2 linked regions of the Sus scrofa genome follow. The main gene of each other region encodes a partner of the protein of the gene in region 2 in a complex. Links are inferred from orthologs where the notes say so. Each region holds a gene or a part of one and is shown on either strand. Other genes may lie near its edges.

Region 1 (16,508 bases), on a different chromosome or scaffold from region 2:
GGAGGAATATAATAAGGGGAAGCTAAATCTTTGTACTGAGAGCACACAGACCCATTAGTGATGCAAGCAGTGTTAGTATAGGGTTTGTGGATAAGGTTTTTGCCAATTTTACGTTGTTTTAAAGAAAGATGTTCTAAGAACCATTGATTTATCTTTGGGGTCTTATTTATAACTGATTGGAATCCTCCTCTGAATTTAAAATAAATTCAGTGTTGAGTCAATGTTACTAAAATGCTTCAATATAAGCTGGAAGATAACCAAGGTGGGTGATGAATATCGAGATGCACGTGGGGAGTCAAACTGGAAGGCCCGTTATATCCCAAATCTTACGCCCCAGCATGGTGCTGTGATGCATGGAAAACACTCAGACATCTTCCTCTGGGCCATAGGGAACCTGGAAAATTGACCTACTTTATCTTCTCTAGGTTGAAGGATCTTTCAAAGCAGACCTTTACTTTCTTTTCCTTTCCAAACTCCATTCCTAGTCTTCACCTATGTGCCTTTCCAAGTTTTCTGAATTCCAGCTCACAACTGGGTTCCCTTAGCATCTGTGTGGGTGAGGTCATACTTAAAACAAAGGGAAAAACAACTGTAGAAATGATAAATGCCAGTATTACAGCCTAAACTCCGGCCTTACAACCCATATTTCCTGTTGAATCTAGAGACTATGTGCCTCTGGAAACTTTTCCCAGCATCATTCTTGGAGATTGAGGTTGGTCCTCACCTGTATGTGTTGCTGCAGGTGAAGAAGTCCGGAAGCCGTGTTATGTTCCTGCTGGTGGACAAGGAAACTGACAAGTACCATAGTGAGCAGAAGATAAAAGTCAAGAGAGAAACAGCCAGTTTGAAACTGCTACCCCACCAGCCTCGGATTGTGGAGATGAAGAAGGGGAGCAATGGCTATGGTTTCTATTTGAGGGCAGGCCCAGAACAGAAAGGTAAGGCAATAGAAGAGCAGAAAACCTGGCAGTGGAACCATCCAATTCTTTATCCCAGCCTGACTCCTGCGTTCCATTAGGCCCCCACTCCCCATCAAATTCATAGAGGAGACAGTAAGAAACTAGAAAGCATAGCTGGGTCAGTTTCCACATTATGTGGTGGCCTGATGATGGGCAGCCCTCGGTTTCCATAGCAGAATAATAAGGCAGAATTTGGGATCTGGGCAGTAGTATGCTGGTAAATTGGCTCTCTTGGGGGAAAAAGCCCCAATTTGTAGCATGTGTTGTTGTTGTTGTTGTTTGTGGTGTAAATACTCCCACCATGTCTGATTTCAAGCTGTCAACATGGAGTCACAGACTGCAAAGTTGAGAAGTTCATGCAAGTTTGGCTCTCAGAAACTGCTGTGAGCCAACACCACTAGATCTGAGGCAGAGGTGTGGGCTGGGATCTGGGACTTGAATAGAAGAGTCTTTCTGATTCCTTGTAATTCAATAAAGAAACGACAGTGGTCCTCCTATGGAAGCTGAATACATTAAAAAAAAGTGTTGGTTCAGGCCATGCAAACTCTTATTCACCCAGAAGCTGCTAGTTTCTTTTCATTGTATTATATGTATATAGTTATGAAATATTAACTTGGTTCATATTATATTAAAAACACCCTTGGGGCCTTTGAGAATATCAAGCGAATCAGACAAGAATTCTTCAGTCAATGAGCCTTCTGTTTAGCAGAGGAGATAAGACACATATGTCCACAACCGAAGATAGATGGCAAGAAACACCTTAATACAGGGGCCGATAGAATATTGTGGAAATTCAAGGTTGCAACAGATTTTTCTCACAGAAAAGGCACTGGGAGGCCTCATAGTAAAGGTAGCACTTGAGCTGAAGCTTTGTAGTATGAATAGAACTTGGACAAGCTAAGGGGTGGGGACAAAGAAGTCCAATCCAGAGATAGGATTGCATGAATAAAGCAGGGAAACATGGGCACAGTTTGATTGGCATCTAATGTGTAGCACAGAGAACCAAGTTAGAAAGGTAGGTTGAAGAGAGGTGATGGAGGTTTAGTGCCAGGTTGAGGAGTTTGGACTTGGTTCTATGTCAATGGGGAGTTAAACGGTTTTTGAGCATTGTGAGAGAGAATTAAAATTAAGCCTTCAGGGCCTTTGGGGCTTTACACATCTCAATTACTTCTGATAATTCTGCAAGAATTGCTGAAGTTGAGGACTTGAAGATACAAGCATTATAAGGTCAAATAGTTGTGGTATATTTAGTCTCAAGTTCAGGTCTGTTTGGTTCTAAAGCCCATGCCCACGTTGTGCTGACTGACTTGGTCAGACACGGCATCAAGATGAAGCTGAAGGCAGATGTGCACTGGAGAAGGTAGAATTCAAGACAAGAAATAATACAAACTGCATTTTGTGTAGAGGAACTAGGCCTAGAGGAGCTGTTTAACATACTAAGGTAGCATTGAAGGACTTAGTTGACTAGACATGGAGAGTGGATGCTGAGGAAGAATCAGCTGTTAAGTGTCAGTGACAGGGGGGAAATGGTGCTCCCACTAACAAGTGACCAAGAGGAAGGGCCTTGGAATGGGGAGATGGCCTAGATGGTTTTTGGTTTGAATACATTACACTTGAGGAACCTATGGGGTATCCAGTTGGAGATGTCAAGCAACTAGCTTTTTTGGAAAAGTAAAACTGGAACTTGTTAAAACTGTATGAGGGACACAAAAGGTATGAGAGATGTGGAGGCATCTGGTGAAGACAGTTCAGATCAGAAGGCTAAAGACACATCTTGAGGGAGTGTCTGTTGTGGCTCAGCAGTAATGAACCTAACTAGTATCCATGAGGATGCAGGTTCGATCCCTGGCCCTGCTCAAGGATCTGGGTTAAGGATCTGGCGTTGCTGTGAGCCATGGTGTAGGTCGCAGATGTGGCTTGGATCCCACGTTGCTATGGCTGTGGTAGGCCAGCAGCTGATTCAACCCCTAGCCTGGGAACTTCCATAAGCCACAGGTTTGGCCCTAAACAGCAAAGCAAAAAAAAAGCAAAAAAAAAAAAAAAAAAAAAAAAAAAGACACATCTTGTGTCATGCACACAAAATGCATTCACAATCAAACATGCCCAACTGCTACTAAAATGCCAGCATGGATTTTCTAGGGTCTGAATTCTTTGGTTTTGTTCATCATTCTTCTCTTTCTCCTGCTTGTGGCTTAGCTCCTACATAAGATGTATGGATACAAGCATGCACACCGATTTCCTAGGATCTTGGGACCCTTAATGCTTACCATGCTATTTTGTCAGATACTTTTAGTAACAACATGATTCTTTAAGATCCTCTCGTTATTAATGTCTGGGTTTGTTCCTGGAATGAGTTCTGACCAAAGAACAAGGTCTACTGGGATACATATAGACGGCCTAGGGTGCCAGTGGGAAGGATGGGAGCTGTACTCAGCAGGCTTTTTAATCTATTTTATAAGGCCCTTAGGCTCCAGCAGAAACATCACTGTTTTTTAGGGATCTTTCTGATAATTTTATTTATTTAGGGTTTTTTTTTTGGGGGGGGGTGTAGGTCAAATTGTCAAGGACATAGATTCCAGAAGTCCAGCAGAAGAGGCTGGCTTGAAGAACAATGACCTGGTGGTTGCTGTCAATGGCGAGTGTGTGGAGTCCCTCGATCATGACAGTGTGGTGGAAATGATTAGAAAGGGTGGAGATCAGACTTCATTGTTGGTGGTAGACAAAGAGACGGACAACATGTATAAACTGGTAAGTAACACAAGGCCATATATTCTGGCTAAGTTACCACTTTGACTCTTCATCCTGGAAGGAACATAGCAATCATCATTAAGCCTGCATGAAAGCTCAAATGGGTAAGGAGAATGCCAAGTGATTGATACATGAGTTTTAAATACTTAGATTGAGGATTTTAGAAAGAATTTGAAAATATAACTGCAGAATTTCTCTTGGTGACCTGAGAAAATCTATGAAAAATATTCTGGAAATAAGCAGATGTAGCCCTAACTTTCCCAAATAGGGAACAACTGGATTCTAAAGTATAGACCAATAAGTAAGTTCTGTCATTCCCATGTAAAAGCCTGGGAGGGATTATTAAACAGTTTATAAGTCCTTAACAAGGGAATAGAATCATAGCATTAACCAAGATCAAGTTGTGTCAAACCTTATTTCCTCTTAACTCTTAATCACAACAGCTAATCTGCATATTTTAAAGTTTTTTTTTTTTTTTTTTTTTTTTTTTTGCTATTTCTTTGGGCCGCTTCTGCAGCATATGGAGGTTCCCGGGCTAGGGGTTGAATCGGAGCTGTAGCCGCCGGCCTACGCCAGAGTCACAGCAACGCGCAATCCGAGCCGCGTCTGCAACCTACACCACAGCTCACGGCAACGCCGGATCGTTAACCCACTGAGCAAGGGCAGGGACCGAACCCGCAACCTCATGGTTCCTAGTCGGATTCGTTAACCACTGCGCCACGACGGGAACTCCATATTTTAAAGTTTTTATAACATTTATTTTATCATAAAAACTGAGGTTCACTCTAGCTTAGCAGAAATTTGGGGACCTTCTTAAGTACCATCTGCCTTGCTGGGTTGGTTACAAAAATGAACAAAGATGAACTTGTTCTATGTGATATACAATAATGGATACATCCAAAAGTCTGTAAATGATATAGAGGGAGGAATATTATGGGTGGTGGTGGTTGTGGTATTAACCTCCTTTTTAGATTAAAACCTGAAGCTTAGAGAGACTAAGTGATTGGCTAAAGTCACCTAGCTTAGTAAAGACTGAAGCCAATATATGAATGCAAGTTTTAATTCATTATACCATATTCCCTCCAAGCACAACACTTTGATTAGATATTTGAAGAGACCTGTATAATGAAAGGTAAAGAGTGAACTGGATGATAGAATAATTAATGGGTTTTTAGCCAGTTGAACAACCATACCTAAAAAATACGTGACATTGGACAATGTCAACCTGAACAGGTGTCTCTAATGAATGGTTGCTTGTCCTATCCTAGTTTATTATTACCTGTAAATGGAGACATGGAAAATGTATTTGACATATGTGATACAGATGACTTAAGTCTGATCATGGATAATTAATTTACTAGAGACTATAATTAATATTCCAAGTAGTATACTAACTTAAAGCTAAATTGTATGAATGCCAAACGGTGAAACCTAATTTGATGACTAGAAAAAGAGCACAAACTTGATGATACTCTAAGTAGCTGTCCCCTCCCCAAAAAAGTCAATTTAAGGTTATATTAATTGACATTGGGCTTTTGGAGATGATAGTAGTATTGTACTGAGTTGGTCAGACTATACTTTAAACTACCGGTGGTGTAATCTTGGGCAAGTTACCCTCCTCATGCCTGTTTCCATGGTTGTAAGATGAGGGTAGCTACTGTGACGGGTGGGTATGAGTGTTAAGTGAGTTAATATTTAGAGCATTCAGAATAATGCCTTGCAGTGTTTTATATCAACATTGTGTCCAGTTCTGAGAACCTCACTTTAAGAAGGCCAGTGTCAAGAAAGGTAACCAGGGCAGAGGATTTACAAGACATTATGTGCATATTCAGTTGAACAAGCATAGAATTTGGGGAAGAAAGGAGAACATCTCCAAGAATTTAAAGACTAAATGGTGACTATGTAAGGTGATAGATGTATTAACTAATTTGTGGTAATCATTTCACAAGGTGTATATATATATATATATATGTATATATATATATATAAAATCAACATGTACAGCTTGAATATATACAATTTTGTCAGTTATACTTCATTAAGGCTGAGAAAATACATGAAGCAAAAATTTACAAAATTAAAAAGAGAAATATACTTCTACAATAATAGTTGGAGACTTCAATATCCCATTCTCAATAATGAATAGAACAACCAGACAGAAAAAAGCAAGGAACCAGAAGACTGGAACAACACAAACCAGCTAGATTTAACAGACAAACACAGAAGACGCTACCCAACAACAGAACACATGTTCTTCTCAAGTGCACATGGGATATTCTCCAGGACAGACCATATGTTAAGCCACAAAATGTCACAATAGCCAAATGATGGAATCAATCCGATGGAATCAATCTAAGTGTCCACTGACAGATGAATGGAATTTAAAAATGTGGGGTGTGTGTGTGTATATATATATACATACATACATACATACATACACACATATATATATATATATATATATATATATATATAAAAAACATACATATGAATTTGAAAGGCATTCTATGGGGCACAGCTTGACCAAACAGAGAAGCCATAGGGAGCTAGCTTTTGGCTTAAGGACAACTGAAGCTTCCAGGAACAAGCTCTGCAGAGTGGGGGGCTCCCAGTTTGTGGAAAAGGTCAAGCAAAAATCGTAAGGTCACTGCTGTGGCTGTTTAAAAGGAATTCCGGTATGAAGTCCTTTTCAACACTTCCTAGTCATATGACAGAATGACTTAACTATAATTTAATGTTCTGGTTAAAATGAGAGAATTTGGATCTAGAAAAATGACTGTCTCTACCTTCTTTCTCCCTCTTTACCCACTACCCTATACCCCCCAAAGTAAGTTCCATAGGTAGGTAGGTGGGTTGTGGTTGGATCTTTGATATATATCAGTGAATACAACTCCTAAACCAGTTCCTGACATCTACTAGACACCCAAATGTTTGAATGAAGAAAGAGTAAAAGCTCAGTAAGTGTTTAATGTTACTGTACTTGGCCTCAATATTAGCTGCTACTGTCAGATAACGGTTGATTTGCTTGTTTGGGTAGTGATGTCAGAGGCATTTTTTGCATGTGATGAGTCATTCTGATAATTTCCCACATTCTAAAGAGAGAAAGAAATGCGGAGCATTTGCAAGTATATCACTGAAATGTTTGAAGTTATTAGCTAAACTGGGTAACTAGGAGGTTCTGTGCTGGTGCTACGCTTGTTTAGAAAGGCAGATGTAGGACAGATGATACCAGGACCCCAAATCCAATTGCAGCCAGGCTGCTGAACAGTAAGCTCAAGGGCAGAGGATGTTGTACTCATCTTCAATTGCTTGATTTTCTACTCACTGCCAACAAATGTCCTGGACAGCTGTGCGCAGCAATTTAGCTGCTGATCCTAGACCTTATGGTACCCAAATATACTCTTTTAATCCTCACAACTAAAACCAACAGCCAGCTAAACTCTTTATTCCCTCTCATATTCATATATATATATATATATATATATGACAACAAAAAACCCAGTCACATGCTTCCTGTTCTCTACCTCTTTTTGCATTTAAGACAATCACTGCCTTCTTCATATGGATTGTCTAGAGTTGAGATGGATTAGAAGTATTTAAAGATAGTGAGTCTAGTATAACAGAAATGTCAGGTGATGGTTACAATAATAAACAGTATTCAAGATTGGAGGGGGAGGTGAGAGAACCAAGTAGCAAAGCATTGGAATTAACTTGTTACCGTATGTGACCAACTGTGTGATTGCCACCACCCTCTACCCCTCTCCCCAATTAATTACTGTGCTTCAGATAGTGATAAAAATACTGTCTCATGTTTTACTTTCTCTAATGTGTTTAAGCTCTGAAGACCACCTTATTGAAGGGGAAGGGCCAGGTGAACCTACTTTGCCCAGAATACTGGGCAAGTCAATGTTGATAATTTCCCAGCAAGGAGAACGCCTGTAGTTTGTTCAGTGACTCGCTCAATATCATGGAAACAAAACCCAGTAATTCTGGTAGACTTATTTTTGGATTCTTGTACAACATTCTGTACTGCTTTTATTTTATGTATACATACATTTGTTTACATGTTTATGCTCATTACTCCTTAACAAGCTCAATTTTGCTTTATATCTCTTCTGTTTGGGTCATAATTATATAGCTCACAACCAGATGTATCTGGAAGAGGAGTGGAACATGTATGACGCCTTGTAAATTAAACCAGCACACTTAAAGTGCAATTTCTAATGTTTTTTCCCCCTTTGTTTTCAAAAGGCTCGTATTTCTCCTTTTCTCTACTATCAAAGTCAAGAACTGCCCAATGGTTCTGTCACGGAGGCCCCTGCTCCTGCTCCTCTGGAGGTCTCCAGTCCAGACACTACAGAGGAAGTGGGAGATCATAAACCTAAACTCTGCAGGCTGGTTAAAGGTGAAGATGGCTATGGCTTTCACTTAAATGCGATTCGGGGTCAGCCAGGCTCGTTCGTCAAAGAGGTATGGTGATCTGGTTCTGGCAGCCCAATGAACACAGCCAGTTAGAAGGGCCTCAGTTTCTCTCATTCACTGATGCCTCAGTAAAAAGTACACTGAGGGTCTCCTTGGGTTCAAATATGTGCTATAACGGTCCCGTACCATTTAAGATAGTTGCTAGCATGTCCCAAGCTCACATCTTTTGTTTCCTAGACATCTGTTCCACATAATTGTCTCTTTAATTACTTTAAACAGAGTAAGTTGGCACGACTGCAGTTGACAGTCACTAACAACTCTGACTGGGAGTGATACTTGTTTGCTTCTGTGCATTTGGCATAATGCCCCTACCCTGCAGGGACTGACAGTGAGATGATTGCTGCGAAAGCTCTCAAGTTGGGAATGAAGAAGGGGGACCTATGAAACCTAATGCCTTCAACCCCAGAAGACATACAATGTGATATTCAACCACTGTGACACTACTCATTTGAGTGGGGAAGTTGTAGCTTTTACAAGCAGAAAAGCACTAGAGCACCATTCTCAGCTTCTGTATGTCAAGGTGAAATAACATCACCTCTCCTCTGAAGAATAGCTAGTCTAATCTTCTGTTGTCCGTGTTTGGAGGTGATAACTCAGGACTTCTGCTCACAGGTACAGAAGGGCGGCCCAGCTGACCTGGCTGGGCTGGAGGATGAGGACGTCATCATTGAAGTGAACGGAGTGAATGTGCTGGATGAGCCCTATGAGAAGGTGGTGGACAGAATCCAGAGCAGTGGCAAGAATGTCACGCTCCTAGTCTGTGGAAAGAAGGCCTATGATTATTTCCAGGCTAAGAAAATCCCTATTGTTTCCTCTATGGCTGATCCACTAGATGACGCCCCTGATTCTAAAGAAGGAACGCTGGAGGAATCGGAGCATGACTCGCACACGGCAAAAGAAAGAGTGAGTGATGACACATTTCTTTTAATGATCTGACTAACCAGAGTATAGTAAAGTCCTTAATAAGCGCATTACACATCTATGTTTATCTCAGATTTCCTAAAATACTAGAAAATTACAGTGTAACAAGAACTAGCACATCCAGTTATTGAGGGGGAGAGAAGGTAAAGACAACACACTTCTTATTTTTCACTGCGTGGAATTGACAGTAATTGCCTAAAGTTCATAAATCGAGAAATAACAGAAGCTTATCAAAATTATAACAGGAACCACCAGAAGAACCTGAATCAGACTCTTTACGTACAAATTCTGGATCTGCCATTTATCATCCTTGGCCAAATGGATTTATTCTCTGTGCCTCATTTTCCCCACCTTTAAAATAAGGATAATTTGTAGGATTGTTATCAGGATTATGTTAAATAAGATTTTTAAAGTGCTTTGAACAGTGCCTAGTTCATGGTAAGAGTGAAATGAATGGTGGTGGTTAGAGACAGTATTGTTCTTATTATTCAAGTCTATTACTAGGGAAGAGTAAGCATTATTCTATATGTACTTAGATTAGATAAATTCCTTGGTAAGTCTCAACCTTTCACAGATGAACTTGAGAACTGACCTATCCAAAAGCGAACTGACCTATCCAAGTTCATAAAGGGAATGTATAGCAAAGCCAAAACGCTAATAAAAGCTTTATACACTTTCCATTACATTAATTCTACTGATTGATAATATATTAAAAAAATACTCATTAAAAACTATTTTTTTGGCCATGCCTGCAGCATGCAAAAGTTGTAGGGCCAGGGATCAAACCCACACCATAGTAACGACCTTTGCCCCAGCAGTGACAACACAGGATCCTTAACCTGCCACGCTACCAGGGAAATCCCAAATACTCATTTTTTTTTTGTTTGTTTTTCTGCCTTTTTTAGGGCTGCTCCTGCGGCATATGGAGGTTCCCAGGCTAGGGGTCTAATCGGAGCTGTAGCCACAGGCCTACGCCATAGCCACAGCAACGTGAGATCCGAGCCACGTCAGCAACCTACACCACAGCTCACAGCAATGCTGGATCGCATTAGGAACCTCATGGTTCCTAATGGGTTTCGTTAACCACTGAGCCACAACGGGAACTCCCCAAATACTCATTTTTAATGAACACATGCTTAGTCTGTTTGGGCTGCTAAACAAAATATCATAGACTAGGTGGCTTATAAACAACAAGCATTTATTTCTCACAGTTCTGGAGACTGGGAAGTCCAAGATCATGGCACTGATAGATTCAGTGTCTGGTGAAGGTCTTCTCGCTTGCAGGCTCTTGACTTCTGGCTATGCCTTCACCTGGTAGCAGGGGCTAAGGGGTCTGGGAGGACTCTTTTATAAGGGCAGTAATCTCAGTCATGAGAGCTATGTCTTCACCTCCCAAAGGCCCAACCTCTTCATAATATCACTTTGCGGAACAGGATTTCAATTTATGCATTTTGGGGAGATACAAATATGCAGATCATAGCACACATGATAGCCACTGAACTTGTATTCTGGGTTGTTTCACAAAAAATGTATTCTAGGTATCTTTAAAAAATTCTATAATATCTCTATAGGAAGTTAATTATAGTACTATGCTAGTTTGGTAGAAAAGGCGTATGTGTATGTGAGTGTGTGTATAGACACACACACATTAAGAAATGTGTTAGTGTCAAACAAAGCCAAATGTAGAATTTGGGTCATCTGGCTTCTAGTGAGTGACTCTACTCCCTGACTTAAGCCATGCAACCCTGGAACAGATCATCCATTTCCTGATGTTCACACTCTTACCACTTATAGATCCTCTGTTTTCTTTTTCACAGGCCAACAGTACAGCCTCTCATTCTTCTTCCAATTCTGAAGATACAGAGATGTGATGAGAACAAGTAATGGCTTTGGCTGATAACCATTTCTGGGTATTTAATAGGAATCCTTTCCCAAGGAATGAGCTGCCACCAGTTTACTTTCTCTGTTAGAAAAGACTCCTCTGGAAACCAGTTCATCATATGTGATTGTCTTCTGCTGTCATCCATCTTAGGGGTGGCTACTGCACATAGCTTATTTATGGTCAGCTTAGGAAAAGTGAAGGCAGGAGCCAGATGCTTTTCGCATAATCTCTTTCAAGCTTCAACTTAACTACATTTCTCTGTATGATGTTATCTCTTCTATAGGTTCTTAGAGCATCAAAGACAATTCATAAATCTGTATATGTGAGGGCTGCTAATTAAAGTTTCTGAACAGATAAGCCTTTTAAAATTATGCTTTTGTAAAAGAATGTTGTTGTTGCTAAAATAAATGGCATTAAAAATGTCTTTTTTTTTTTTTTTGTCTTTTTAGGGCCACACCCACATTAATTCCCAGGATAGGGGTTGAATCAGAGCTGCAGCTGCTTGTGTATGCCACAGCTCATGGCAACATCAGATCCTTTAACCCACTGAGAGGGGCCAGGGATCAAACCCGTGTCCTCAGAGAGTCTCTTATTCCAGTTAACAGTTACTCATTGTTTTATCCCACAGTACGAGGGGCAGATAAAAAGAAAAAATGAGATATCATCACTGACTTAAATTTAGAGTAATTCACAAATAATATGAAGTTGAGAGGAAATCAAGAAAAATGACATAGTCTGAAGTCTCTCTTGGCAGAACATTTCATTTGTACACCATTTCTTCCCCAGAACAGATAATCTTTTGGTTATTTTCATGGGGCCAGGGTTGGGGAGGAGGGGCAGGATACCAACTCACCTTATACAAGCATAATACCAAGCTATCTTTGATAAAATGAAACTAAGGCCAAAGTATTACAACCTCTGATTTTAATGATAATCAATCTCAAGGGAAAGTCATAACCTTCTCCATGTGATCCTTGACTTAAACAGAAACCCTATGTTTCTGGCCCAGCTACCTGACATGTCTCTTACCCTAGAGTTCCAGTGTATTTTTTCCCTTTAGTTTCTCTGCTCTTTTCCACTCCTACCACCCAGCATGCTGCACCAGCCTCCGACCCAAACAGGTTGGCTGAGGACTAGCTCGAGTTACTCCTCTTTCTCATTTCCAGCTGATGCTACTCATGATCACAGTATCATCTGAGGAGGAAGGCGTAAACTGGAGGTAAGATATGCTACCACAGCATATTGTTTAAAAAATATTAAGTCCTGGTCCCCCCTCCATTTTTTCCCTCTTATATCCAAATTCTGGCATCAGTGGCCTGCAGCAGTCTGTAATAGGCATGAGTTCAAGGTGCCATATGCTTCTCTGGTGCCTGTTTGTGAGCCAAATAGAGGAAAAGTATGCTGGAAAGAGCACTGACCAGGAAGATCACATCAAACCAACGGTGATAGAAGTTGAACTGCAGCTCTCCAAGGACTTCGGTGACTATGGTGCGGTACTCCAGGGGCATGCTCATTCGGATCAGTAGCACCGAGGAGACGAAATACATGCCCTGTAAGTCCAATTAATCCAGAAGTCACTTTGAATGCAGCGACACACGAGTCAAAGGAAATTGTTAAATAAGGAAATATTTAAAAGGATAAAACACATTTCTGGTATTTTACAGCTGTAAACATAAAGCTAGTTCATAAACTCACCATTATCTGTGCTAATAGCAGGACAATGACATTGGAGGACTTACTGCTGGAGATGGCATAAAAGAACTAGAAAGGGAGGAGAGGTGGATTTATACAGATTCCTGTGTCAAAAACATTACATAGTACGGTTAACATTTAACAGTGTCTCTTCTATGCCACAATCCTGCATAGAACCATTCAGATGATTAAAGCTATAAATAAGAGATTTAACTAGATTGCCCCAAAACGATCCACGTATAGTTTTCCCATACGGGTAGTTGGTGGTTTTAAGTATTATAACATGAAAGGAATCCAACTGCTATCAAACTTTTTAGAAACTATGTGATACATAAGACTTTATCACCATTATAACACATTAAAACAAATTACCCTGGGCCACTCTAAGCCTTTGTAATTGTTATTAGGCTCCTGAGCTCTTTCTAAAATTGTGCTAGATGCTTAGAGATCCCCTCTCCCCTCCCAGCCTCTTTTCTCCTTTCATTCGAACACCACTTGGATCTTGAAATCCTTACCTCTTCTACCAGAGAGGATTTACTTTCCAGCTCCATGAAGCCTTCCTATGTTGACCAGAAAGCATTCTGCTGCTCCTACTTCCATATTCTCCTTACAAGCGACTCAACAATTATTCTTCTAATCTCAAATTCTATCTTATTTATTTATTTATTTATTTATTTTTAGCTATTTCTTGGGCCGCTCCGGCGGCATATGGAGGTTCCCAGGCTAGGGGTCAAATCGGAGCCGTAGCCACCGGTCTACGCCAGAGCCACAGCAACGCGGGATCATTAACCCACTGAGCAAGGACAGGGACCGAACCCGCAACCTCATGGTTCCCAGTCGGATTTGTTAACCATTGCACCACGACGGGAACTCCTATCTCATTTATTTATTATAGATATCTGCTCAGTACCTACTATGTACCAAGTTCTGTTCTAGTTGCTGGTGACATAATCAGTGAGCGAAGCAAACTGTGATCTCACTCTATGACTTTTGGCAAATGTACTTATCTAATCGGTGTATGATGTAAATACATCATCAATTTGTGTATTAGTTTAAATTTTTCTTTTATTCAGTTTTATGTCTTTTAAATATCTGTGTCTGCTAAGATCTCAGAAGGCAGAAATCTTTATTAGGTAAAATGATCTTGTAGTGCCACGTGTAATAAGTACTTTTAAGTTCTGTGATACAACATACCTTGGTAAGAGTGATCAACAATCCTCTGATTGATGTGACGATGATTATTCCAACTAGAATGAAGGAAATGTGTTGGGACCAGAACTTCACCTGTCATTATATTAATAAGAAAAACATTTGTTAAATCTCTGTTGAGAGAGATGTGAATATGAAGAAGATGCATTCCGATTGCTTATGTGACGGTGAGTAGGAACTTCATTAAGCCCTACGTGATTTAAAAAAATTTTTAGGGAGGGAGGAAGGTGAGTAAGTGGCAATGAAAAGACCTATAGCCAGACTGCAAAGGATATCTTGATTAGCAGACTTAACACTAATAAATCAGAAGACACAGAGCTAATGACATAGGTTCAAGCGAAAATCATGAATTAAAAGGAAACTAAATAGCAGCCTGATAATGTTTAATATTTGTGAATGACAGTCCTCTAAACACCCAAAACTTTAAGGAAACTTTCTTTTTATAAAATCTATAGACATTCTCAGCTACAATCTAGGAAATAGCTGAATTTCATTTGAATCACAAGAGGATACCCTGTATCCTCCTGGATTACTTCAGAGTGAGAGGCAGCTGTGATACCCTGTGCTTGATTCAGGGCTGAAAAGCATCTTAGGGGGAGCTGTATTGGTAACATCTAAGAGATGTTATTCAGAATGATGAAACATGGAGTATGCAGATGAGCAATAGATGGAGTACATATCCATACACAGCAACTAGCCTTGGAAAGCACTGATAAGGAGGGGCATTTCTAAAAATTCACCCCAGTAAAAAATTTAAAAGAGGAAAACATACGTAACGATAGTAGAACATACTTTACCATATAGTTTATATACTACTTTAAGGAGAGACACCATGCTCCTTCACATGAAAAAGGATACACGACTGATCTGTCATCAGAAAGTGTGTGCTTTGAGCTGTTTCTCAAGGACTGGAGCTCAATTTGCTCTGGTGTATTTTCATTTTATCCAGCTACCAGGGGATGTCCAGCTGAGGTGAATGGCTGAGGGTAGCATGAAGTCTGTGGCCAGGATCATAGCATAGCTAAATGCCTTATAAGAACTAAAAACATGACATTGGTCTTATTATCGAAGTGCCAATCAGCTAGAATCATTGGCCATATACCTAGAAAAGACACTATTCTACAAACAAAAACATTAAACTTAAATTGGGGAGTTCCCTTGCGGCTCAGTGGGTTAAGGATCTGGTGTTGTCACTGTTATGGCTCTGGTTACAGCTTTGGTTCAATCCCTGGCCTGGGAAATTCCACATGCTGTGGGTGTGGCCAAAAAAATGGGACAAAAGTGTGTTTAATAACAGAGGTATCATAAAACAGGTAGAACGATGATTTAAAAAAAGACTTTGTACACAGATGACAGTTACCATTTTTAGCTCAAAGTTCACAGGAATTGATAGATAATTTTTTACAGCAGGAATCATTTCAGTTCTAAGATGAAACACTAATTAGTAGTTATTCTTCTACCTGAAGAATCAAAAGTGAGCTATGTGTTTGAAGATGTCATCAAGTATCACAGAGAGAAGAATTCGAATATTTGGTGGGGAAAAGCTGGTGAGTAGTAGTTGCTACAGAGAAGTAGAGGAGGGATTATAGAAATAATCAGTATCCATATCAATAATAACTGTCAGTCATTACTTAGGGTTTTATGCCCTTTATAAATCTGCCACATGAATATGCCAAAATATACAGCAGAGTGAGAAGAACAAAAGCAGAAACAAGTATCTAAGGTAAGGAGTTGGAATTTAAAGAACGGTAATTTATAGCAAATAAAATAGAAAGAAACATAACAAACTAGGATTTTGATACAACTCTTACATCAAATTGGATCCCCAGATAATTCACAGTGATTTCAATGCCTCTTGTGACTGGATCAGTTTTCCCAACTCGGTCAAAAACGATATTAATGGTTGCCTGTAGAGATACAGACCTTCACATTGGAGTATTTTAATCACTATTTCAAAAAAAAAAAAAGATTCAATATAATGACCAAAAGTATCTTACAGGTGGATATTCCTAAAAATGCAGTTCCACTCCCAATCCAAATCATATATAAGAAATTTATTTTTGCTTTTCACATATAGGCAAACCAAAGCCCCTGTCTATCCTATCTTTCTTTTCTGTAAATTGTAAAGGGGAATACAGCTATGACATATGCAGCTTAATTTATTAGGAGCCAGAAAAGCAACATTCTGGTAGACAAAGTCAGGGTAAGAGAATCAAGAAAGTCTAGGGTCATTCGTGTGATTATTTTCTGAAAGCTCTAAGAACAATCACTAAAACAACAAAAAGACAAGCCAACTAAGAACATCAAGTGGAATTATGAAAAACATCCAAATAATCCAAAAGAAGCCAGAAAAAAAGCAAAAAGGGGAAAAAAGAACACGAGACAAACAAAATCAATAGCAACATAACTGTTTTAAATCAAACAAAATCAATAGCAACATAACTGTTTCAATCCTATCAATAATTACATTAAACAGAAATGGTCTAAACCAGGGGTTGGCAAACTCTGCTACTGTCATGTGACAGTAGGTATGTGACAGTATGTAGATAAATGGGCTTAGCTGTGTTCCAATAAGACTTTTTAAATAAAAGCAGATGGTGGCAGGATTTGGCCTA
Region 2 (16,608 bases):
GCACAACAGGATCAGTAGTACCACTACAGCACCAGGACACAGGTTTGATCCCTGGCCCAGCACAGTGCGTTAAAGGATCCAGCATTGCCATAGCTGGGCTTGGATCTGATTCTTGGCCCAGGAACTCCATATGCCTCAGGGAGGTTAAAAGACAGTGGGGGCGGGGAGATAGTTGGAAAACTGACCATTCTATACTTGGAATTATTTTTCCACTTGATCCAGTATTTTTAATGGTTTTTCCACTCCATAAATTAGTATTTGTTCAGTAGCTAAGAAAAAGTCCTATGTTAAATTATACCGAAAGAAATCAGGAACTTCCCTGAAAGGGCTAACCTTAATTGCCTGATGGAGGTTGAAGATACACTCAACCAACAAAAAGTCACACCACCAGGAAGCAAGGAGGGTTTGCTAAGCGTCAGCTTCAGTTCAGCCTCGAGAGATGAATGGTCTGAATGGTGAGAGAAACACAGGAAACAGGACGGAGAGAAGGAACAGGGAGTGAAAAACCAGAAACATGATATAGACAAGGGAAGAATACATGAAAACATACAAAAAAGAAAACTGAGAGGAAAAGAGAGGAAGGTAGAAATGTTGGTGGATTTACAAACAGACAATTTCCCTTGCCTCATTGTCAATACTTCATCATATGTGCCATTTTTACCTTTATTTATTCTGTTTTACCCCCATTATTAATGGAAAGTATTTAGGAAAAGAAGGAATGATCATCCAGACAGGTTCATCCATAGAAACTCATTCTGCTTTATTCTGAGTGGTCATTTTCCCCTTTCATAGACTCTCAAAGCTAGAGATGTTTAAATCTTCTTTACACTACTCATCTCCTCACATATTCCCAAAGTGGTTATCATGTTTCTTCTTAAATAAGTCAAGTGACAGTAAACTCACTGTTTTCAACTCTGACTAGTTGAAGTTTTTTCTTTCATCAAGCAAAAAGCTACCTTCCTATAGCTTTCATTCTTTTTTTTTTTTTTTTTCTTTTTTTGGCCGTGCTTGCAGCATGCGGAAGTTCCCAGGCCAGGTATCAAACCCGCACCAGAGCAGCAACCTGGGCCACTGCAGTGACAACACAGGATCCTTAACCTACTGTGCCACCAGGGAATTCCAGTTTTCACTCATTGATCTCTGGTTTAACTACTGACATCCTCCCAATATCTATGGACAGCTATAACATTTTCTTTAATTCTTATCTTATCCAGGTTAAATACCTCCCTTTCCCTCAATCTTTCTTCATAAGATGCATCTTTTAGTCCATCCATAGACACTTCCCTTTGAAATGTTTCAGTCTTTCCCTCTATTTATGACCAGTACCCAGCCTTGAGCACAACTCCCCAGATATGATCTGACTGGTGGATCACTACAATTTTGGCAAATGGCTATCTGCCAGGTACCTCACTTAATGCCCCTTTTACGTTTTTAAAAATACAGAAATAACAGGACTCTTACATGTTTTTCTTCAAACTGATCTCCACCAAAAGCTGCCACACAGGGTTTGATACCTCCTGTCCCCAAAGCGATTAGACTCAAGCCGACCATTGACAGGATGCTGAAATGGAGACGTGAGAATACTAACCATATTGATACTAAAAACAACTGTAGAAATTGAATATAGAGCTATAGGAGAAGAAAAAAAAATGTGTACAAGGGCTAAGACCTCCTTTACATTTCTACCCTCTGGGCATTTTCCACATACTTGCGCTCCTAGGGGAGACCCAGGGGCACTGACAATCTTTATAACCCTTGACATTCTGCCAGAAAGTATCCATCACATGGGAAGATTTTTGTCCCTGATAGTTTCATCTACCCCTTGAGTGCAACAGATAGAAGCAGATACTGAAGGAACGCCAAAGCTAAAGCACTGGTTCTCAATCTTGCCTTAGTCAAAGGGACACTCCAATAGAAACATCTTATGAACCCTTGTCCTACTTATCATTACTAACCAACAAAAAGTTAATATCATAATTAATAGGAGAGGTGCCAGTGATTTTTAATGGGATGACAAGAAAAAAGGTATCTAATATTTATTAAATTTCAAACAAAAGTCTTAACTCATGAGAAAATACATTATAAGCATGAATATATATGACCTGCTTCTTGAACAGCTCTAACCCTCTCTACTGACTCAACCAACAGACATCAAAATTTACCAAAAACCTCTGGCATCATAAACATCAATAGCTTCAGTAAAGAGGTATAGAGTAACTGGAATATATGGAACTACACATAAATGGAAATCATCTAAGTTTTGAATATGAATTCTACAATGTATTATAAGAAAACATCATAGATTTTTTTTCTTTCTTTCTTTTTTTTTTTTTTTTAGGGCCTCACCCATGCCATAAGGAGATTCCCAGGCTAGGGGTCAAATTGGAGCTGTAGCTGCTGGCCTATGCCAGAGCCTCAGCAACACAAGATGTGATCTGCATCTGTGACTTATACCACAGCTCATGGCAATACCAGAGCCTTAACCCACTGAGCAAGGCCAGGGATCGAATTTGTGTCCTCATGGATGCCAGTTAGACTCATTAACCACTGAGCCACGAGGGGAACTCATACAGATTATTTTTTAACTCTGGTAAAGTATAATGCATGGGTGGGTGAATAGGTGAGGGAATGTGGAGGACTTGAAGGTTTTCATCACTGTCTTCAAGCATATGAAGAGTTTTTATGAAAAAGATACTAACTAGTTATTCTACAAGTCCCCAAATGCACAATAACAATAAACAAGCCCAGAAAAAAAAAAAAAAAAAACAAAACAAAACAAAAAAACAGGAAAAAGTTCAGCTGATCAAAGATTTTTTTTTCTTAAGCAATTTGGTAACAAAATAGTAGGTTGGAAAATAAAGGGACATCTCTGGTAAGAAGACAGGAAAACATCCGTAATGAATACATGAGACATTTACCCATCCGATGGAGGGAAAGTGGTTTGGTTTATCCCATGATTTTACTCACGTGTGTATCATATGTCCCCCCAGTATTGGTAAGGCACCCAGGGACTTGATCACATGGCCAAGGACATACACCAAGGAGAGATAGATAATTGTCCTGTTGAGAGAGTTAAATTAGTCAATCTACAAACAGAATTCAGATATTTGAGTAATACAGACTCAGAGTTCATACTGTTCTCAGTGTCAGGATAAATGGAGTGGGAGGAGGAAGGAGTGGAGGAGGAAAGAATTACCTGAGAAACGCAAACAGAAATAATAATGGAGAAGGAGGCAAACAGACTAGAAAAAGAGACAGCAACTCTTCGCCCTGTAATGTTAGAGATAATGGACTTTCCTTTCTCATATCTGCTCTAACCTATTTCCCCATTTATCCCACATATGTGCAGAATACCCCTGATCTTGTACAAATATGTCAAGACCAGGTTGGATTTGTAGCAAGTGACAATGTTTTAAATTAGGAGAACCAGAAAAGTGGAATACTTTGATCAGAGGGCTTTTTTTTCTTTCTTTCAGGGAATGTCTTTGGCTCTAGAAATCCATAAGGTCAAGGAGAATGTCATGTAAACAGGAAAAAAAAAAAGGGGGGATGGCTAACACAAAGAACTTTCTCTAAATGCAATCACTGGGATGTACAGAGATATAAAGGGCTCTCGGGCTGAGTCTGGTCTTGCACACCTGGGTTAATTATAATCCTCACAATTTCCTCATGGACAATTTCCCAAGGGTAAGAAAGGAACCAGGGACTTTGAACAGACCGTCAAAGTCTGATAGAGCTCAGAGAGTTGGTAGGGACTTGTGCTATTTTTCAAAAAAATCTGAATGATAAATATGTACAGATATACACACTGAAATAAGGCACACTACCACACATACAACATACTTCTTACATGTATTACTACCCCAGCATTACATATAAGTAGAATATTAGTACTAGAAAGAACCTTGGAAATTACATAGTTTACTTCTACGATTTTAAAGTGTTATATGCTGATGTAAAAAGAAAAAGAATGGAATGAAGGTAGCAGAGAGAGGCTGGAGATTCTAGAAATCTCAGAATGTGCATTTCTCATTCTAAATGCCTAATCTTCCTAGCCCTTGGCTCTCCAGGAAACAGGAAAGGGACCTTAGAAAGTTTTATAAGGCACACAGGAGATAAGTTGAATGACTAAACCAGGGCGACTTAGTATCAGAGGAGGGGGCAGGCTTCCCCAAAAGGCCTTATAGTGTCTTCTGGAAAAAAAAAAGGTTCTCTTTGTTGGAATAAAAACAATGAATAGAAAAAAAAGGCATAAGAAGGGACTGAAAACGATCAGTATTATGAACCCAAATAAATGATCTATGCTAAATCATTATGGAGGAAAAAAATAAAAGGAGTCTGAGCTGGGGTGATAGAGTTTGAGTAAAGAGATCATGTCAATATCAGATTGTTACACTAAAGGAATGAGAGAAGTGTTAGGGGCCTAGGAGGAAAACAGGCAGTCCTCTAGGTGAAGGACTCAGGGAATAAGTCCAGAAAGGAAGCGAATGACAGAGAACTTTAACAGAAGGAGAGAGAATCCTTTTATTCTGCATACCGTGCCAGCCCTCCATCTGGATGGACTTGGTAACCACACTACGTAAAGACCAAACATAGATATCTGCCACCTGCCATTCCTCTCCAAGTCAAGAAACTGTGTTTAGAACTGCGGCAGCTGGAGCTCTATATTAGGTGCTGAGTAAACACTTTAGAATAATGAATATATATATATATTGCCACAGCCACAGCAACGCCAGATCTGAGCCGTATCTGCGACCTGGCAATGCGGATTCTTAACTCACTGAGCGAGACCAGGGATCAAACTTGCAACCTCCTAGTCAGATTCATTTCCACTGCACCACAATGGGAACTCCTGAACTATAAATTTTCTCATGGGAAGCAAACTCTATCATGCCTGAAATCAGAACAAGAATTGGTCTTAAACTACAGAATGCAGGATTAAAATTAAATATAAGGGAAAAAAAAAACCTTTTGACTGAAAAGGGTGTAAAAATATTGAAGAAATTGATAGTGAAGAGACATAACCTTTTCTGGATTATCAGTCTGAGATGTTCTTAGGTACCATGAGTGACACGAGTATGTTCCTGCTGTGAAGCAAGTGGCTAAAAAGTGACAGTCTCCGCAAAATCAATCTGTGAATCTTCTTGGGATGTGACCTCCCATTATCCTTACTTGAATTTTCCCAACCATGAGTCAGCAATGGCTGCTCCCAGGATGGGAGTGAAATAACAGAGGCTGCTGAAGGCGTGGTATACAGAGGTGGAAGTGTCTTCACTCCAATGCAGGAAATACAGGAAGTACAGGGTCAGCACAGCTGAGGCAAAAAAAAAGGTGGGGGGGGGGGAACAAAACAAGACAGACGCATTAAAATGATTTACGGAGAAGAACATTTGATCTGGTCTTTGAAGGTGATCTTCAGCATTCCTAACAGTGAAGTGACTGAGGGGTGACTGCTGGGCAGTAGAATTGGGGCCCCTCGGAGTTGTAGGAATGAAGCGGGTGATGCTTAGTGTACAAATACAATACTCCTCTCTTCAGTCTATGTACACATAGCATCACTTAGGCCAATCCCAAAGAACATGGAGCGTCTAATATCCTTTCCTTCCCAGTAACAATATAATCAATACATCTGAGGAACAGAAAAGAGGAAATGGAATGCCAATGATGAGAGTTTTTCCACTTATATTCTCATAGGCTGTGTTCTGATTTCCATTAGGCCCTTCTATTCTTGGCCTGTATGAGTTAGTAGGTGAAATCCCATGAGGCAGGTTTTAGAAGTCTTGGACAAAGGAAAGGACCAATTGGATGAAGGCAGAAAGAGTAGACAAGGGAAGTAACTGCATAGAAGACCAGGTTGTTACAAACATGGGGTGAAAGTGAGTGCAGAAGAGCAGGACTCTAGGACACAAAATTACCTTTCATGCCATAATAGGAAAAGCGCTCACAAAATTCATTCACCACGATGAAGGCAATGCTCAATGGATAGTTGGAGCCACAGATTTTCTGTAAAACAAAAAGGCAGTGGTTCAAGTATGAACTATATTTCCTTACTTAAACCACTAGATTGCTCCACAACAGGAAAAAAAACATTTATTTATTCTTTTTTTTTTTTTTTTTTCGGCCATGCCCATGGCATGCAGAAACTCCTGGGCCAGGGACTGAACCCGCACCATAGCAGTGACCCGAGCCACATCAGTGACAATACCAGATCCTTAGTCTAGGCCATTAGGGAACTCGATTTTTTTAAAATTTATTTTTTAAAATCACTCTTTAAAGTCACCATAATAGGTAATATGAAGCAATGGCCCCTATTTCTCATGAAACAGCCGGTACCATACTAAAAGTATTTGCATTGCTGATTTAGGAGTAAGAGAAACTATTCTGAATATTACTTTGTTCATCATTCATTTAACATGGAACTTCTCAGGCATCCATGATTCTAGACACCAGGACCTGTTCATCTTCCCACAAGTACTAAATGAAACATCCAGCGCCCCAGGCAGGAGAATAATGAAATTCATTTCTAGGAACAGAACCAAGAGTTGTCCTCTAGAGCATCTGATGTCTAAGCAGTTACACTTAGCTGTCAGTATACTTAGCTCCACTGTGCAGATTAACCTCTGTCCTCACCTGCCCTGTTCACTGTGCTTGGAGGAATCCTGGCAATATGAAGGCCTCCCTCTAAGTGGCTACTAGAGCCAGGCACAGAGCCCAATACAGATTCTTAAAGGTAAGCTGATTGAATACCTTCACCTTGGGCAGAGTTCTTAAATCTTGTCAAATTAAATGTCCATTCTTTCTATAAAAGAGATTCTACAGCATTTTAATGGTAATCCTATTGGGCATTAAAAGTACTATGCTATTTCAAGCATTATCTGTCAGAATATAAGGAATATCATGTTTCATTTCAAATTCCTACCCATTATGATGGCCCAACTAACATGAGAGAGGGATGGAGATATCTGTTCTTGGTTCAACCAAATCTTACCATGAGATTTTTATGGTCTCTTCTTATTAATAAGATACACACACACACACATCTTTGTGAGCAAGCTTAAATTCTTTGGGACCAGAAGAGATATAACTAAATAAATAAATGATAAATTAATACATTAATGTATCCAATCTTTTATCCATATAGATATAAACAACCCTCCTAAATATTAATATACATTAATGTATGATTAAAAACTTGCTTGAAAGATACAGTGAATTAAGTTCTTTACCTTTTAGCTCACAGTTTGAGAATTATGCAACTTCAAGTTTAATTAGCACACTTTTACTAGCTATGTAACACTGTCATTGGCTGTGTTAACATACTGCCCCCGGTGTATCACTACACTTGTCTTTATACTTCAATTCTATTATTCCAAAGAAACTACCACCTCTAGAACACTACCACCTCTTTGTGGTAAGAACTCATTAAATACTGGCTAATATTTCTATATCCTCTCCACTTATAGGATTTTGATATGAAGATTGAAACGAGATAATGAATTTGCAAGTGCTTTAACACGTATACAAAACATTATTATCACTTCCTTGTTTCCCTGTTCCTTCCCCCACTGTAAACTGAAACACATAATAACAGACCTTGGTGTCCAGCATAGACTCTACACACAGGGGGAACTAAGGGTTGAGTTTTTATATTAGTAAAGAAAGAACAATCACACACAGTTCTCCAGAAAGGAGTGCTTGCCAAGTTTCCCTGGACGCTCAAAGTGCTTTTTTTCCCACCCTAGAGAAACTCAGAGTATACAATGAAACACATCAAAGTCTTAGATGCCAATTGAAGAACTCTGACTACCTCTTTCTGCTGCATCCTCTCCTAAGTAAAGGAAACTTCTGTTTAGACTTGGTTTACAGGTTAACTCTAAATCCGAGAGAGAGAAGAGTTTTTAACACTGTAACACAGCTCAGCCTGAAACTCTAGAGGCCAAGGAGGAGAACCAAAAGAGCAAGTATGTTCCTGTCAGAGGCAGAACTGAATCTGAGGACTCACCGGAGATGGCTTCTTTGGAAAGCTGGGGGGTCGAGGTGGTACTTCTTCAGTGGAGACAGGTAAAAAAAGTGTTTCCTTGGATTCATTTTTCTGGAAGGGATTCATGGCTGGCTCCTTACTCTCTCTCTCTTCAAGCATTTGGCTTTGGTAGGCAGTCGGACAGCTGCCAGGCTACTGTGAAAAGGGGGACTGGGAGGGGAAGAGGGGGTGGCTTCGGCAACTAGGTTTAACCCCGTGGGTGTCGGGCTTCAGCAGCTGCCTGCAAAGTAGAAAGCTATATAAAAGAAAGGATCGAGTCTTAGAGACTAGTTCAAAGAATGATTATGTTAAAGGTAGAGCACAAGGAAGAACACCACATCATGGGCTGGAAGAGCATAATGCTGGAGAACTGCAAATGGATGAAAATTAGTAAGACTACACAGACCTGGAGCATAGCCTGGAGCACAGATTTCAAAATTGATTTCAGGGTAATAATAGCCACCACTTGTTGCACATCTACTATGGGCAAAGTTTATATATACATACATATATTATATCTATACCCATATGTTTTAATTCTTACTACTATCCTCGTTTTAAGGAACTAATAAACAACAGGTTATGTAATTTGCCCAATATCATGTGGCCAGTAAGCAGCAGATCTGGAATTTTCGGTATGCCATTACATATAGATTAGTATCAGTAAAGCCTATGGTCCTTTCTCGGGAATGGAGGCTATATGGAAATGTAAACATAGGAACATAGGAATGCGGGGGAACTGAAATGCATTGAAGAGGGAAGGTCATCTCCAAAATGAATTTGGATAGAAAAAAACATTTGGTTTTCAACATAATAAAGTTCAACTAGAAATATCCTATAAGCAATTAAATAGGTCTTGGTCATGTACATTTGGGAATAATTCTTCTACTTTGATAAATTTATTTTCTCACGTCAAGATGAATCCTTCATGACATGAGGAAATACAATTTAATTTGCATAAAAATTAGGAACCAGATATTTTCTAGTTACTATTACAAACATCATTTTCCTTAATTTTCAGTGAATGGACTTCCCAGTGACTCCAGAATATAATATTTATTTCCTATCAGAGGAGGAACAAGAACAGCCATGACAATGATAGATGTACTTTTTACAGTATGATTTTTGCTAAGTCAAAGAGGCAAAATAAGAACAAGAGAGTATGGTGTCCATCTAGCTGTCAGTCAAAAGAGAAAGGAAAATAATGGCAAGACAGCAAGAAGAAAAATGAAGACTAAACCAACAAGGAAGTCAGGAAACAGGGGAATGAATTATTTTATTTTAGAATATGAGAGAGAACCTATGACTCTATTCCCTGTAAAGTTCTTCCATTACCTGTTTGAGTAATTTGTTGACAAGTAAGGCCAGAATAAACTCTATCCTCTCTTTCCTAAACTCTATCTTAGACTTTGACCATATTTTCCCAGCTTCTAGTATACCTCTTATCCCACTTCTCTCCCACCAATGAAAAAGAGTCCAGCTTCATTTCAGACTGTGACATTAATGATTAAGCTGTAGTTATTCTTTCAGGAAGCACTGCCCTTTCTGACCTAGTTTGGTTAATGACTCTAGATGCAAAACAAATGAACAGTCAGAAGTTACTGGTCAAGTTAACCACTAGAGGCACAAATGTCTTTAAGATCTAATTATATCAGTGGCTCCCCTTGCTCTGACTTGATAGCATTTGATCTGGCAGAGCAAATGGAATAGCACCTGTGAACAAAGCACCAATTCATTTGTGCTCATAGGTGCCCTAAATATCAAACTTTAGAGTATTGGCATTGGTTCTCATACTCCTTTGTTTAGATGAAATTCTTCTTTTAATTATGCAATACTATGCTAACATTAATAGAATCAAATAATATCAGAGATGGAAGGAAACTTAATCTTGTCCTATGTAAACTAAACTTCCCTAATGATAAAAATCACTTAGGGAGGGAGTTCCTATTGTGACTCAATGGGTTAAGAAACACAGTGTCCGTGAGGATGTGGCTTTAATCTCTGGTTTCGTTCAGTGGGTTACAGATCCAGTATTGCTGCAAGGTGCGGCACAGTTTGCAGATGCAGCTCGGATCCGGTGTTGTAATGACTGTAGCATAGTCCTGAAGCTGCAGCTCTGATTCAAGCCCTGGCTTCAGCTGATTCCATATGCCATGCATGTAGCCATAAAAAAGAAAAAAAATCACTTAGGGATATCTTATATATATAAATTTCCAGAACGATTCTCTCTCTCTCTCTCTCTCTCTCTCTCTCTCTCTCTCTCTCTCTCTCTCTCCTCACACACACACACACACACACACACACACACACTTAAAGGCCTTTCCTTTGAAAATTCTTATTCTCTAAGGAGGTATTTAAGAATGTATATTTTAATAAGCATCTATGGTAATTCTTAGAACAGGGGTTTGGTGAACACTGGTTTAAAATCCTTCTCTTAGTCTAGCCTGAAGAATATTACAGAAGGGCTCAGACTAGAATCCCCACCTTCGAGACCTAAAGCCTTTTTCCTCCTTATCAAGATGCCTCTTATACACCATTTTTGCTAAGTTGAAATCAGATAGAAGGATAAAAGGGAAAAGATCAAAAAGAAAAACAACTTCTGAATAGAAATGAGTACAAACACTTCAGGGGCAAAAAAAAGCAATAAAAGTGGAAGAACCTAAAGTATGTGATAAGAGTAAAAAATACTTGTGACCTCAATGATTATGACAGAAGAGAGATTTTTTTTTCTTTTTGCACCTGCACCTGCAGCATATGGAAGTTCCCAGGTTAACTCCATATCCTTAACCCACTGAGTGAAGCCACATATCAAACTTGCATCCTCACAGACACTATGTTGGGTTCTTAACCAACTGAGCCACAATGGGAACTCCAAGAGTGATATATTAGGCTATGTACAGAAAAGAAGCTCTAAAATGACAGACACTCACATAGTTAGAAAAGGCAATTAAAAGAGAACATGTGTTTAGCAAAGTGCATCAATATAAAATTACATAAAAGTACATTATTTAAATATAGCAAAAACAAATAGAAAAGGAAATTTAAAAAATTATACTGCTATAGTAGCATAAAAAATACCCAGGAATATATCTATTGAAAGATGTTTAAGACATCAATACTAAACACTTAGAGTATTAGTATGTATTTTTATGTAATTTTTACAGTTCATTTTATATAAATTACATCATTTATTTACCTACTCCTACAAATGAAGGCGCTCTCAACCTCTTACGAATACATTTTTATGATTTTTTTCCATTCTTATTAAGTCTGACTCATCTCGTAAAGAATTGGAAATTACTGGAGTTCCTGTGTGGCGCAGTGGTTAACAAATCCAACTAGGAACCATGAGGTTGCGGGTTCGGTCCCTGGCCTTGCTCAGTGGTTAAGGATCTGGCATTGGCATGAGCTGTGGTGTAGGTCCCAGACGCGGCTCGGATCCCACGTTGCTGTGGCTCTGGTGTAGGCCAGTGGCTACAGCTCCCTTGCCTGGGAACCTCCATATGCCGCGGGAGCAGCTGAAGAAAAGGCAAAAAGACAAAAAAAAAAAAAAAAAAAAAAAAAGAATTGGAAATTACTAAAATAATTATTACATGAATGGTATCTAAATGATATAATTCCTAAATCTGACATGTCTAAGAATGCTTTCTTAACAAACTGTGGATGATATTTGATGAATACATGATTCAGAGGTCACACTCGTACCTTTGTGCAGATGCAGCTTTACTAACTTTAGAGTTCAAGTGCAGTGCTATGGGATAGTTCAAAGCCCACTGATTTTTGTTCCTTTGTAACCAACTTACTTTCCCTACTCGCATGCTTACATTATCATCAGTTTCATCAATCTATTCAGAAAGGTCAAACTAAAAGAATATGAGCTTATGTTAACTAACCTTATTTTAATAATAATTACATAATATATACAATATCTAATCATCCCATTGTACACCTTAAATTTATATAATGTTATCTGTCAATTCGATAAAGCTGGCAGGAAAAAAAGGTATGTGCTTAGAATCATGTGAGGATGGTTCTGACAGTGAACCTCATATCTGAGAACTTGTCTCATCCACTGATCCCCACATTTCAATGTCTGAAAATGCATCAAATAAAAATAACACAGAAGCCCAAGATATACTATTTCATTCCTTTCTAAGATACTTATGTTTACCCTTAAGGGGGATAAAGAATGATATGCTAGGTATTCAACCCATAAAAATAATTTTAAGAACATATTTCATTTATGGGAGAAATAATAGAAGAGAGGAAGGACAAGTTGTTTTGACTGTGGGAGGTATATTCTGAGAACATAATGTGTGTTATATAGTCAGCATTATCAGTTCATATCACCATGAACTCATTTCTGGTAAACACTAATGAAATCTCAGCATAACAACTTTCAGTAAAAAACATTATAATTTGTATTCCTGCATTAAAATAATAAGCTACTTGGAATATTCAAGCTTGCTTATTTTTTTCATTTTGGCCACATCTGCAGTATTTGGAAGTTCCTGGGCCAGGGACTGAACTGATGCCACAGCAGTGGCCTGAGGCACAGCAGCGATAATGCTGGGTCCTTAATCCACTGAGCCACAGAGAAACACTCTTTTCGAGCTTGCTTTAATTAAGTAATATATAACATAGTTTTTGGCATCGATGAATAAAATAGAAATAAAGGTGAAGACATAAATAGGTTATGGCTGAAGATGGGCCAGAGAGAGAAAGGGAGAGAGAAATGGGAGAAATTAAAACCAAACCTGGAGTTCCCGTCATGGCTCGGTGATTAACGAATCTGACTAGGAACCTTGACGTTGAGGGTTCGATCCCTGGCCTCGCTCAGTGGGTTAAGCATCCGGTGTTGCCATGAGCTGTGCTGTAGGTCGCAGACACGGCTAGGATGTGGCACTGCTGTGGCTCTGGCATAGGCCAGTGGCTACAGTTCCAATTAGACCCCTAGCTTGGGGACCTCCATATGCCGTGGGTGCAGCCCTAGAAAAGACAAAAAGGAAAAAAAAAAAGAAAGGAAGAAATTAAACCCAAACTTAAGGATTAAAAAAAAAAAAAAACAAAAACTATAGAACTTGTTATGATAAGAGGTGAAGGTGGATAAAATATTTTTTCATAATTGCCAAAACTTGGAAGTAACCAAGATTCACTCAGTAAGTTACAGGATAAATAAACTATGGTACATCTAAACAATGTAATATTATTCAGTGCTAAATAGAAATGAACCATCAAGCCATGAAAAAGACATGAAGGAAACTTAAGTGCATATTATTACGTGAAAGAAGCCAATCTAAAAAGGCTGCATACTGTATGATTCCAATTATAAGATATTTTGGAAAAGGCAAAACTAAGAAGAGGGTAAAAAAATTATTGATTGTCAAAGGTTGGTGTGTGGGGGAATGAATTGGCAGAGCACGTTTTTTTTGGGCAGTGAAACTATACTGAATGATAATACAATAGTGGATAAATGTTATTATACATTTGTTAATACACACAGAAAGTACAACAACAAAGTGAACTCCAATGTATAAACTATGGACTTTGAATGATGCTGTGTCAATGAAAGTTCATCAATTGTTAAAAAAAAAAATGTAGGAGTTCCTGTCATGGCACAGTGGTTAACGAATCCGACTAGGAACCATGAGGTTGCGGGTTCAATCCCTGGCCTTGCTCAGTGGGTTAAGGACCTGGCGTTGCCATGAGCTGTGGTGTAGGTTGCAGATGCAGCTTGGATCCCGCTTTACTGTGGCTGTGGTGTAGGCCGGCGGCTGTAGCTCTGATTTGACCCCTAGCCTGGGAACCTCCATATGTCGTGGGAAGCAGCCCTAGAAAAAGGCAAAAAGCCAAAAAGCCAAAAAAAAAAAAAAAAAAGTACCACTCCAGTGCAGGATGTTTATACTAGGGAAGCTGTGCATGTGTGGGAACAGGGATATATGAAAATTCTCTGTACTTTCTGCTTGATTTTGCTGTAAAATTAAAACTGCTTTTAAATAAAGTTTATTAATTAAAACAAAAAAAAAAAAACCTTGCTGCTGGTCAGTGGCTTTCAACTATTATCTAATATCTATAATTTCCTCAAAATTCAAAAATGTTTTAAGTGTAAATATTATTTATCTCATTAATAGATCTTCATATTTTTACCTCAAAAGCAAAATAAGAAAATGATTTTTAAAAATATCTGAGAGAAGAGAACAAGACAAATTATGTGACAGATAATGGAGCAAGTGTTTCATTAAAACAATTATTTAGCTTCACCTTCATGCTAAATTATAGCTTAGTTTTCAACCAAAATGTAAGGAATATCATATAGAAAGGCTCAGAGATATAATCAAGACCAGGGACATTTATTATAAATCAGTAGTTCTGACATTTCATAATTGAAGACAGCAGTATGATAAAACAGAACACTGAACTTGAACTTTAGAACAGTTGATCTGACACTTGTTAACTAACAGTATGTGGGCAAATTACCTAACTTCTAAATTTGTTTTCTCATCTGTAAAACTTCAGTAGAGTTTCATTAACATTAAACAAAACACATGAAAATGCTGGTACTCATAAATGGTAAAAAAAAAAAAAAGTAACATTAACTGAAAATTCTGAATCACAACTTTATCATCAAAAATTGATACATTTTCCTCAGCCCTAGGAATTTTTATTCATAATATAAAATAAATTATCACGTCTTGAAAATTTTATACTTATTGTTGAATATTTCTTCAGTCATCACTGTCACTTCCTGATTCACTCAGCTGCAAATCATTTCCTAAAATAAAAAAGCATTAACTGTGGTAATTAAATATTTTACCTATGTTTGGATCACAGCAGATGTCATTCAAAATATAACCACAAGGGGATCCTGTTTAGCTAGCATTTTGTCTTTAAGTATCAGACTGCTTATCCTATAATTAGTCTCATTATTAGTAACTCAAATAATACTGTCTGTAAAGAAAAAAATAAACCATCAATGTTCAGCATAGTTTTAGTATTATCTGGCATCAATTTTAGTTTTCTTCTATATACCAACATCATCCTTTATACTACTGATTTAATTACATCAGAAAATGAGAAAATGTGCTTTAGAAGATAACACTATTTTGAAGAGTGAAAAAAGTTATATAATTTTTTACTTAAAATTCAGTCAAAATCATTAAGTAGTATATGTTAAGAGCAACTTATTATTGATTCTTTTTTTTTTTTTTTTTTTTTGGCCTTTTTTTTTCAGGGCTGCACCTGCAGCATATGGAAGTTCCCAGGCTAGGGGTTGAATCCCAGCTACAGCTGCTGGTCTACATACACACAGCCACAGCAGTGCTGGATTCAAGCCGCGGCTGTGACCTACACCACAGCTCACCACCACACTGGGTCCTTAACCCACTGAGCAAAGCCAGGGATCAAACCCACATCCTCATGGATACTAATCATGTTTGTTACCACTGAGCCATGAGAATTCCCTCGTCACTGATTCTTTTGTAATCATCCCTGTGCTTACAATCATGGAACTGACATTCCAGTGGGGGGGGGGGAGAGTAAACAAATAAATATATAATGTAATATTCACCCCAAGTCGGAATAAATACAATGAAAAAATGAAGGTGGGTATGAGGAGAGCAGTGTGAGGTGCTATTTTAGATAGTGTAGTTAGGAAGACCACCTTGAGGTGGACATCTGAAAAGAGATACAATGAAGGGAGAAAGTCATGAAAACAGAGTAGTGGGGAAAACTGCCCAGGCTCAGGGAACAGCAAATACAAATGCCCCAAGACAGAAAAGCATGCTTCTTGTGCTCTCTGACAGCAAACCACCACTATGGCTGAAGTGGAATGAACGAGAAAGCGAATGGAAGGGAAAATGTCTGAAAGATATCCAGAAGACCAAGGTGTGTAGCTCACGGTAAAAACTTTAGATTTCATTTGAAATGTAATGGGAATTCAATTCACTGGAAAATTTTAAGCAACCAACTGACTTGAACACTATTATGTATCAGTGCATAGACTATAACGGTGTGGAAAAAATATGGATTCAGGGAGAACAGTTATGAATCTATGCAGTTCCTCATGTAAGAAATTATATCGGCTTTGAGAAAGACAAATACTGTATGATTTCACTTATATGTGGAATGTGATACACAATACAGTTGAACAGAAACAGAAACAGAATGATGAATACAGAGTGAAAAACAGGTGCCAGGGGAGAGGGATAGAGTGGAGAGAGAAATAGGTGAGGGAGATTGAGTGGAACAAACTTAGTTTTAAAATAAATAGTCACAGGTAGGACCCATGTAGAGTGTAGGAATATAGTCAATAACTGTGTAATATCTTTGTGTGGTGACAGATGACAACTAGACTTATAATGATGATCATTTTGAATATATAAAAATATCAAAATACTATGTTGTGTACCAAGAACTAATACAGAGTGGCAGGTCAGTATATTTCAAAAACAAATAAATAAACAAACTCATAGAAAAAGATCAGATTTCTGGCTACCACAGATGGGAGGTGTGGGGAGGGGGAATTAGATGAAAGCAGTACAAACCTCCAATTATAAGGTAAATAAGTGCTAGGGATGTAATGTATAATA

The links.
Region 1: the proteins of SLC15A2 (region 2) and PDZK1 are in contact, whole or in part, in a crystal structure (PDB 6EZI), measured with the Homo sapiens proteins. The link is inferred for Sus scrofa from reciprocal best matches to the Homo sapiens genes SLC15A2 and PDZK1. Residues at the interface, in NP_066568.3 of Homo sapiens: Glu723, Thr724, Lys725, Lys726, Thr727, Lys728, Leu729; in NP_001188254.1 of Homo sapiens: Asn386, Gly387, Tyr388, Gly389, Phe390, His391, Leu392, Asn393, Ala394, Ile395, Arg396, Gln407, Tyr436, Glu437, Val440, Ile443, Gln444.

Annotation. Positions count from the first base shown.
Region 1 is NC_010446.5:99,645,755-99,662,262, forward strand, and holds the end of PDZK1 (Na(+)/H(+) exchange regulatory cofactor NHE-RF3), read left to right. Parts: intron 1-742; coding exon 743-938; intron 939-3,510; coding exon 3,511-3,707; intron 3,708-7,958; coding exon 7,959-8,177; intron 8,178-8,801; coding exon 8,802-9,092; intron 9,093-9,097; exon of another isoform or gene 9,098-10,927; coding exon 10,928-10,981; 3' UTR 10,982-11,416; downstream 11,417-16,508. Other genes in the region: Golgi pH regulator, read right to left, coding at 12,336-12,542, 12,688-12,753, 13,879-13,968, 15,705-15,800. UniProt on the Homo sapiens protein: A scaffold protein that connects plasma membrane proteins and regulatory components, regulating their surface expression in epithelial cells apical domains.
Region 2 is NC_010455.5:138,624,415-138,641,022, forward strand, and holds the start of SLC15A2 (solute carrier family 15 member 2), read right to left. Parts: upstream 8,108-16,608; coding exon 8,003-8,107; intron 6,004-8,002; coding exon 5,916-6,003; intron 5,315-5,915; coding exon 5,173-5,314; intron 3,061-5,172; coding exon 2,968-3,060; intron 1,562-2,967; coding exon 1,462-1,561; intron 1-1,461. Other genes in the region: EAF2 (ELL-associated factor 2), read right to left, coding at 14,746-14,792. UniProt on the Homo sapiens protein: Proton-coupled amino-acid transporter that transports oligopeptides of 2 to 4 amino acids with a preference for dipeptides. Transports neutral and anionic dipeptides with a proton to peptide stoichiometry of 2:1 or 3:1.